2 linked regions of the Rattus norvegicus genome follow. Each later gene encodes a partner of the first gene's protein in a complex. Each region holds a gene or a part of one and is shown in the gene's direction. Other genes may lie near its edges. The genes, in order: Capza2 and S100a1.

What was found.
Region 2: the proteins of Capza2 (region 1) and S100a1 are in contact, whole or in part, in an NMR structure (PDB 2KBM), measured with the Rattus norvegicus proteins. Residues at the interface, in NP_001009180.1 of Rattus norvegicus: Thr267, Lys268, Ile269, Asp270, Trp271, Asn272, Lys273, Ile274, Leu275, Ser276; in NP_001007637.1 of Rattus norvegicus: Ser44 (codon at 3,463), Phe45 (codon at 3,466), Leu46 (codon at 3,469), Asp47 (codon at 3,472), Lys50, Asp51, Ala54, Lys57, Ile58, Glu61, Leu78, Ala81, Leu82, Thr83, Ala85, Cys86.

The regions. Positions count from the first base shown.
Region 1 is NC_086022.1:46,942,621-46,947,114, forward strand, and holds the start of Capza2 (F-actin-capping protein subunit alpha-2), read left to right. Parts: upstream 1-1,419; 5' UTR 1,420-1,476; coding exon 1,477-1,515; intron 1,516-4,494. UniProt on the Homo sapiens protein: F-actin-capping proteins bind in a Ca(2+)-independent manner to the fast growing ends of actin filaments (barbed end) thereby blocking the exchange of subunits at these ends.
Region 2 is NC_086020.1:178,293,292-178,297,550, reverse strand, and holds the start of S100a1 (protein S100-A1), read left to right. Parts: upstream 1-1,204; 5' UTR 1,205-1,345; intron 1,346-3,320; 5' UTR 3,321-3,333; coding exon 3,334-3,474; intron 3,475-4,259. UniProt on the Homo sapiens protein: Small calcium binding protein that plays important roles in several biological processes such as Ca(2+) homeostasis, chondrocyte biology and cardiomyocyte regulation.

The DNA.
Region 1 (4,494 bases):
AAATTGATATTGATTTGTCGCTCCTGAGAGTTTTGGCCAGACACTGTACTTTATTAACTTGCATACTGTCTCCATGGGTTTATCTTCAACTGGACACTTTCAGCTCCCTCGAGTGTCAGCTTCCTCTTCTGTTCTGCAAACGAACACTTTAGTAAGTCACTTAATGATAGTGTTTTTGGACCCAAATAGCTATTTGAACTCTTAAGGGCACTCTTACCTGTTATTTACACACAGCTGTCAGACTGACACTGCCAAGCATGTTCCGTTCATGTCGTGACACTGTCCGAATGCCTTCAATGGCTTCTCACTTTCTAATTATTAAAGTCTTAACTCCTAGCTAAATTCTAAGTCCTCCACAAACAAAGGGTAGTTTTCAGATGAATAGCACTCCTCGTACTTGGGAACCTGTAAGAAATATAGATTCTCTGGTCCACTCAGGTCTACTGAACTAGCAACTCAATTTTAACAATGTTTCTGGCTGCTTCTTGTGTCAGCTTTGACTTCATCCTTACTTTTTTTTTTTTTTTAATAATTGAAGCTTCAGTAGTAGAGCTGCCAGATTTAGCAAATAAAAATGAGACAGCCAGTAAAATGTGAAAACAATAAATAATGTTTTTAGAATGTTTCAAATCCTTCATAGGATATTTACCTAAAAATTGGTTGCATGAAATTGAAATTTCTAGTGAATGTCCTGTAAGTATTCTGGATAGCCAGTTCATGAGGGTACACATCCAAGGCTAACTTAACATTTTATTTCCTTCCAAGAGTACAATGCCTTCCCTAACTTAATGTCTAATTAATAGAGGTGAGCTTAAGAGCAGTTTCTCTGGGATTTAGGTTTGTCTGGGTTTTTTTTTTTCCTCCTTTTCTTATTCCTAAGAACTAGCACCAGGGCCTTCCTATTATAAAAGACCAATAAATAGTTTTGGATGAATAAATGAATATATCAAAAGTAATCTTTCAATTATGGACTGGATTGTGTGTGCCTATTTTAATTAAAACAGTATTTTTCCTAATACTTAAAAATGTTTTAAATTGGTACAGCTTTTCACATTTTTTGTTGGCAGCGTTCAGGACTTGGTGGGAACAAAGTCATGGGCTCAGAATGTACTCATCGCCAACCTGGTCCATATGGTCATCATTGGGTAGAGAAGGCACCAGAGCAGGATGACAGAAGATACCATAGCAATCCGACTTTGGAGGCGCTGCGCACGCGCACAGTGGCGCTCAGGCCTGCGATCAGGGGAGGGAGGCGGAGCTCTGGGGCGCGTGCGCGGCGGCTTGAGGAAGGCGGAGCTCCCGGGCGTGTGCGCAGTGGCTTGGATCCGGGAGGCGGAGCTCCGGGGCGCGTGCGCGGCGGCCTGGGCGGCGGGCCCCTCCCTTGGCGGGGGCGCGCGGCGCGGAAGACCGCACGGAAAGGGGGAAGTCAGGTGGCCGCTGCTGCCACCAGCGCCACGGTTTGTCGCCAGAAGGAAGATGGCGGATCTGGAGGAGCAGTTGTCCGATGAGGAGAAGGTAGGCGCCGCGGCGGTGAAGAGCAGGGCGGACGGGACCGAGAGCTGAGACGCAAGGGCTGGAATCTGACCCCGGGCGGGCTCTGGTGGTGGGCCGCACGCCTGCGCCTCTCGAGCGGGGTGCTGCCTCGGCTCCCGGAGGCCGGGCCCCTCCGCTCCTTGTAGGGTGTGTGCTCCGAAAATAGGAAGCGGAGCCGGGCGGCCGCGGGCCGGAGCGGGGGTGGCGGGACCGGGCCCTAGGGGTCCGGGCTGGGGAGCGGCCGACAGCGGAGCGGCGCCGCCTGGCCTGGGGCTTTCGCCGTGAGGCGGGCGGGAGGGGGAAACGGCTTAGCCGACCCTCACTTTTTCCTGCAGTTTCTCCTCCCCAACGCGAAGTGCTTCCTGGTTCTCCAGGGTGTTTCCTTCCCTCTGGAGGTCGCAGTTTCTACATCCCGCCCCCTTTCCCTCCAACCCCCTGCCATCCATTTCTTTTATTAATATTGTCATTACCTTTTTTTTTTTTAATTGCTGCTCCCATGTTCCCCGGAAGGCAGTATTGTTCACAAAGACACCTCCCCCCAATAGTTGTTTTCTGTCCAACTTGGCCGCTTCCCCCCCTTGGGGCAGATTTGGTGACATCCCATCTTCCTGATAGGACCAACTCCGAAGAGGGCGAGCGGGTGCAACTCCTTTTACTGTGTGTTAAATGCTGTGACAGCACTGGGACCAAATGCAGGACTCAAGTTCTCACATTTGTGATACGAAATCTGATTGAACTGAGACTCTTGCCCATTTTCTTTGGCGACTGAGGGCGACCTCATACCTAGGGGCGAGTACTGTGAGGGGAACTCTATACATTTTGAATATTTTCTGGAAAAGACCGAGACGTTTTTTGAAACTTAAGACTTGACTGACATGAGTGTGGTGCACTTTGGAAATGTCTGACCTTAGCTTAGTTTTTAAGTTCCAGATAAAGTACACCGGTGTGGGAAACATACTCAATTTTAGTTGGGTGTTAGAGAACCACTAAGGGTAGATAACCTAACAAAATGGGGGCAAACATACTTTAATTCACAGAGTTAGACTCTTAAGTCCATAAAAGTTGCTGTACAGTAACATTGAATAGTGTTAAGCTGTTAATTGAAAATATACCAGTGCACACTACAGGAAAAATAATGTTTGAAAGTTCTTGGAGGGATTTTTTTTCATGTTTTGTTTTCTTTCATGTACTTTTTAAGCGCTCAATTGACTTGGAAGATAGTGAGAAGAGAATTCTTAGGGTGGGATTCACATTCAGATTTTATAACAGTATTTTCTAAATTGAAGAAATCAGTGGCTTAACTTTCTAGTGAAATTTAAATAACCCAGTAAATTGAAAACAGTGTTCTTGTCACTTTTATTACCCAGTAGACTTGTACTGTTTTAGAAGGAGGGTGTTCCATATGGATCAGAAATGGATTCAATTGTAATATTTAAGACCAGTTCTTAAATCATGCTTCTCTATTGTTATTTCCTTGCTTGTGATTTTCAGGAGTAAGTTTTAAATACTTTTTACACTTGAGTTTTTGTTTAGATTTTAGGTCTAAAGAAGGGGAGGTACTATGATGTGTAATACTGTAGTTTGTATGTGCTTATCACATAAGAAAAATAGGTTGCATTTTCTTTTTTAAGTTTGAAGTAGATAGTTTTATTACCCTTTACCTGTAAGTAAATTAAGATTTTAAAAGCCTTATATAGGAGGGAAATGGCAGAGGTGAACTTTAAACCTAAGTTTGTCAGAATTCAGGTTTGCTTGCATACTTAATGACATTATGTTCCCTTGAAGTTGATTGTAGAACTATCCTGGTTTTATATCTTGGTTTTCAATTTGTTTATTTTTAAAAAGGAAGCAGTGGTTCTTTGTAGGTTCTAAATTTATGTTTTATACTTAGTGAAAATGTTAACTGGTAAACTTCTGTTTTCATCACTTTTAAAAAGAAGTTTATTTTTATGTAATGTGAACATTGTGTGCTGCTGCTTTATAGTTTCTTACTGGTCCTGTGAGATGAGACATTTTAGAAATTCGTAGTTGGGTGTGGCAGAGCAGATTTGTAATCTAAGTACTGAGGAAACTGGGGCTGGAGGATCTCTAGGTCTGAGGCCAGCCTATAGAAAGCAACAACAGAAAGAGATTGACTGGGCGTTGTAGGCATACCTGTAATCCCACTACCCTGAAGGCTGATCAGGAGGAAAAAGTTTCAGTCCGACCAAGTTTAGCTTGATTTTCTGAGTTACGAGCCAGTCAGAGCTACACAGGGAAACTCTCTCTCAAAAACAAACAAACAGAAGGGGGAAAGTATCTAGGACACTAGGCTGAATGTACTGTGATTTTTATGGCTTAATTTCTTTTGGCCACAGTGTTAATAAGGAAGTAAATTTAGCTGAAGAAACTATGAAGTTCCTTAACAGCATTAATTTGTCATAGTGTGACTCTGTAAATTTTACATAGTTATAGAAACTCCAAGCCAGAAAGAGTTTTTCTTTCTTATTCTTTCTTAGTTCATTTGAATTGTATAATAAAGCATTTTCGTGAATTTGACACTGTATGAAATTGTTATATAGAGCTCAAAGAGAACCATTCTCAAACTCTGCTGAAGGAGGACAGTAATAGTTGAGAGAGTTTTCTCCCTGGACCAGTGAGCACACTTCTATGGCGGCTGCTCTTGGTACTGCAGCATTAGTGAGCCTGGAACAGTATATCGAGTGGAGGATGACCTTGAACTTTTGGTCCTCCTACTTGTACCATGCACTCTGTCTTGCTGAGTTTAAAGCTGGGGATGAAGCCTGGACTTTGTCAAGCCTCCTTCCAACTAAGCTTTATCTCTGGCCCCCTCCATTTCTATACATCCCTGTTCTCATTGCTGTAGTCACGTAGGTCCTATATTTCAAGTTTGCTTTGTTAAATTCTTTTCTGCTTGACCTGTACCTTAGAGCAAAATTTTGTCATCTTTATGATCATGAT
Region 2 (4,259 bases), on another chromosome or scaffold:
CCCACATACTGGTTACTGTTCCTGGTAGAGAAGTCTAGGGCTGGCAAAGGCACAATTGAAGTCAGGGCTGGCTCAATCGGGCCATCTTCTCTGCCCCATACCCTCCCTACCTCTGGCTAAGGGGGTCGGAGTGTGCTCAGCACAAGAACCCATCGACCTTCCCCGCTACTGTCCATGGTTGACAAGGTCTAGAAAGGAGCTCTCCAAACTCAAGTCCGCAACCCACAAAGTGTTTGGCCTGGACACCAGGGCCCACGGGGGTCCAGGAACGGAAGAAACATGCCTACTCATCCCCCTCATTTATGTCCGTCCGTCATTTATGTCCCACATAATCCTGCAAGGACCGTTGCTTGCTTTCCTAAAGTCACTTCCTGACTAATCTCTGCCTGAGCCCGCTTGGAAGGAGGGACCCGGGAGCTGATAAAGAAAAGAAGGTCTCCAGGCTCTCTGCAGAGTCAGAAAGAGTAACTCACCGGGGCAAGAAGATGGGATGCAGCTAACCGATCTGGAGCCCTGAGGCTGAAGTTTTTAAGCACCAGGGAAAGGAGAAAGCCACTCCCAAGTCCAAAGTGTCAAGTTTCCGCCTCCGCTGATTCGAGAGAGGAGACCGCCCCTGCTGTCACTAGCCACCCCACCACAGCGCCTCGCGACTGGGACACTCAAAATATGGTTTTTGAGACTGAGGAGGGATCATAGGGTCCCTTATCTCTCCCAATTATGAGTGCTACTCGGGAGTCTGTGTTAGAAGGGACTGCTGCTGCTGCTGCTGCTGCTGCTGCTGCTGCTGCTGCTGCTGCTGCTGCTGCTGCTTGAAAAAATTAAAAACAAAACAAAACCAAATGTACTTGGGGAAATCAGCACTGGGAAGCCCCTTCTGAGAAACTCGAGGTCCAAAGGCACTTGGAGAGCCCCAAACTAAAGCCCCGTAGTGGGACCCCTATTGAAATTCTCCACTGAGTTCTAAGACAGAAGCCCCTCTTGGAGACGCACAGGCTAAGCACTCCTGGGCAGAATCCTTCCCTTTCCCTGCTCAGCCGGTACCGCAGCACCCAGCACCACAGCACCCTTCCCACGACCTCCTTCTCTTTCACCTCCTTCACGCAAGATTCGGGGAGGTGGTGCAAGCAAGAGTGGAAAGAAACAGCAGACATCCATTCCCTCCTGGGAGACAGAGGGCGCCTCTGTCCACTCCTGGCCCTAGCCCTTCGGGTGTCGTTTGTGAAGGGGTGGAGCCGTCGGGAGGAGGGTCGGCAGTAAAGACAGGTCTCCCCACACTGCTCCGGGGCAACATTTGCAGCGCGCCCTTCTGTCAAGAACCTGCTCCGACGTCAGGCCGAGGCCAACCGTGAGTATCCTACCCTGCTTAGGATAAGTCTCTGGCTGAGCCAACCTGGAGGAAAAGAAACTTCAGAAGACACCCAAGAGTTCTGGAAAAGGATACTGTGGTGTCACCGGGGTCTGGGAGGAATCAGTCCAGGGAAAGAGCAGCTCGGGAACTAGGGGAGATGAAGTTTGGAAAATAGTGAGAGTTGGTGAGTGAAGGTCAGAGAGCTGGGAGCCTGTGGTGAATGAAGATGCCACCCAACTTCAGGGCTACCAGGCCTTCCTACACAGAATCCTGTGTCTCCTGCCAGGGATGCCATTCTATAGGTGTGGGCAGGGAGGGAAGGCAGCCCTGTTCCTTTAAGGTAAGAATAAGAAAGGCTGTCCCTGCCCCATCTCCATCCTCACCCTCTGCCTTCTCAAGAACTAGGCTCTGAGTCGTGGAGCATACGCCATGTGATATCATAAAGAAGGGGGTCTGTGGCAGTGTGCCTTCACAAGACTTCCTCTCTATCCCTTCTTTGACCCCTTGACCCCCACTTCTCTCTCTCCTCATTTTTTCTCTTTGTTTCCCACTGCTCCAACTGTAGGTCCTCCCCTACATAAACCCTCCAAGCTGCTAGAGGGTTCCAGGCAACCTCCAGATGCCCCCCCACAGATGAGAATGGTAACTGAGCCATCCAAATTCCTCCCTTGAGCACTCTCTTATCCCTTTGATCAGCCCCGCTTGAATTCTCTCTCCCACTGTCTCTGTAACAACTGCTTCTTGTGACTGGAGTTCAGGTGACAGTCACAAGGGCTCCATTGAAGAGCTGGGATGTCATCTAATCAGGACCCATTGTCCAGTATACTCAGTGGTGAGGAAAGATGAGGACACCTGAGCTGAGACACCTGAGCTGCCCCTGAGGCTATGGAAGGCATGACCCTCCCGGGCCAAAGGACTGAGGCCCCCTAGCCAGTAGTCTCTTCTTGAAAGACCTCTCCATTCTTCCACTTTCACCCAGCCCTTGAGCTCAAATGACCTCATACATTCAGCCCTTTATCCAACACAAACCAGCCCTATCCTGCTCCCACTGTAGCTACCAAACCAGAGCTTGCCCAAGGCAGGAATGGACAGCATCAGGGAGACATTTCCTCTCCCTTCCTTCTACCTACCTGATGGAAAGCAGCGACTTTGCAGAGAAAAGGACTAGACCAGGCAGTCATGTTCCCCCGAAAAGAAGCCAAAATGACATACTTGTGGGGAGAGGGGGAGCCAGGCATAATGGCTCGTTTGGACCAGCGTCTCAGCACAAGGAGACAGACAGGACTGCCCATATGTTGAGGGTCTGCTTGAGATAGTTCCAGGACAGCATAGGCTGTTATCAAAAAATAAATCCCAAGCACAAAAAGATGGCGATAAAGCCAAAAGGACCTGGACTTAATCCTCAGGGTCTAAAGAGAGGAAGAGCCACACTGGCTGACAGAAAGCTTGGGAACAGTAAGACACCTCTCCCCAACAACTCTTGGGTCTCACCCCCTGACTGTCACCCCTCCATCAGCTCACCAAAGGTATTAGACTTCTTCCTGGGTAAGCAGAGGAGATCTCAGCCCACTTAATATCAACAGCAAAGCTTAGCTGTGACAGGCCTGGAAGGTAAAAATAGAGCTTAAAGCCTGCCTGGTCCGGTGTCTACCCATGCCTCCCCTCCTGCTCCCCAGCCTGGAGCCAGCCACTGCAGATATCTTCCACAGGCTTCCAAAGACAGTCCAGTTCCTATTGCTTCATCTCCATGCTCATGCCTGACTCCCTCTGACTGGGAAATGATGGAGGGACCCAAAACACTGCACCGGATCTAGGTGTGCTAGGGTTACTCCTACATTGCAAAATCTGAAGGAAAGATAAAGTACATTGGGGCTCATCTTGTAGCTGTTTGAGCTGTGAGATCAGGGCCAGATCCCAGATTTTCTGAATCTAGTTTACAATAATTCACTTCCATCATTGTGGGAACACATAGGTGTGCTGCTGAAATGGGCTCTGAGCTGGAGACCGCCATGGAGACCCTCATCAATGTGTTCCATGCCCACTCGGGCAAGGAAGGGGACAAATATAAGCTGAGCAAGAAGGAGCTGAAAGACCTGCTACAAACTGAACTCTCCAGCTTCCTGGATGTAAGCAGAGGATTGAGATACAGGGTGGAGGAAGGGGGTGGGTGCCCCTGCCCTATCCTTGCCTCACCCCTAGCTCACCTCTTCCAACCATCCTCTTCTTCCAGTCTTAGCTAGGTGTTCCAGGCTCCCTTAGCTCCTCCCTGGAAAAGTTAAAATGCCCCTTCAATACTAGGCTCTGCAAATTCGTCAATAATGCTATCCACAGCACAGAATGGGGTCATGAAGGGCCGAGCAGAGTAGCATATACCTTCAATCCTAGCACTCAGAAGTAGAGGCAGGAGGGATCAGTAGTTCAAAGACAGCCTGGTCTATGTGAGCCCTTGACACAAGAAAGAAAAAGAAGAAATGAAGGAAGGAAGGAAGTCGACCCAGTGTGATGATGCATGCCTAATCCCAGCATTCAAGAGGCAGAGCCAATCAGTTCTCTAGAATTTTGAGCCAGCCTGGACTATGTAGTGAGAACCTGTCTCAAAAAAAAAAAGTTGTAAAATTAAAATAAATAAGCCACAAAACTAAGCATGGTAGCTCCCACTTATAATCCCAACACTTGGGAGACTGGGGCAAGAGGATGATCATGTGTTTGAGACCATCCTGGACTAAATAGTGAGTGAAACTGACTCAAAAGTGGACTTTTGAGATGGTTCAGCTTGCCACCAAGCATAAGAACCTGAGTTAGATCCACATAGTCAAGACAGAACTAACTCCCACAAGCTGCCCTCCACAAAAGAACCTTAGTATGTGTATGTCCACTCATATATATGTGTGTGTGTGTGTGTGTGTGTGTG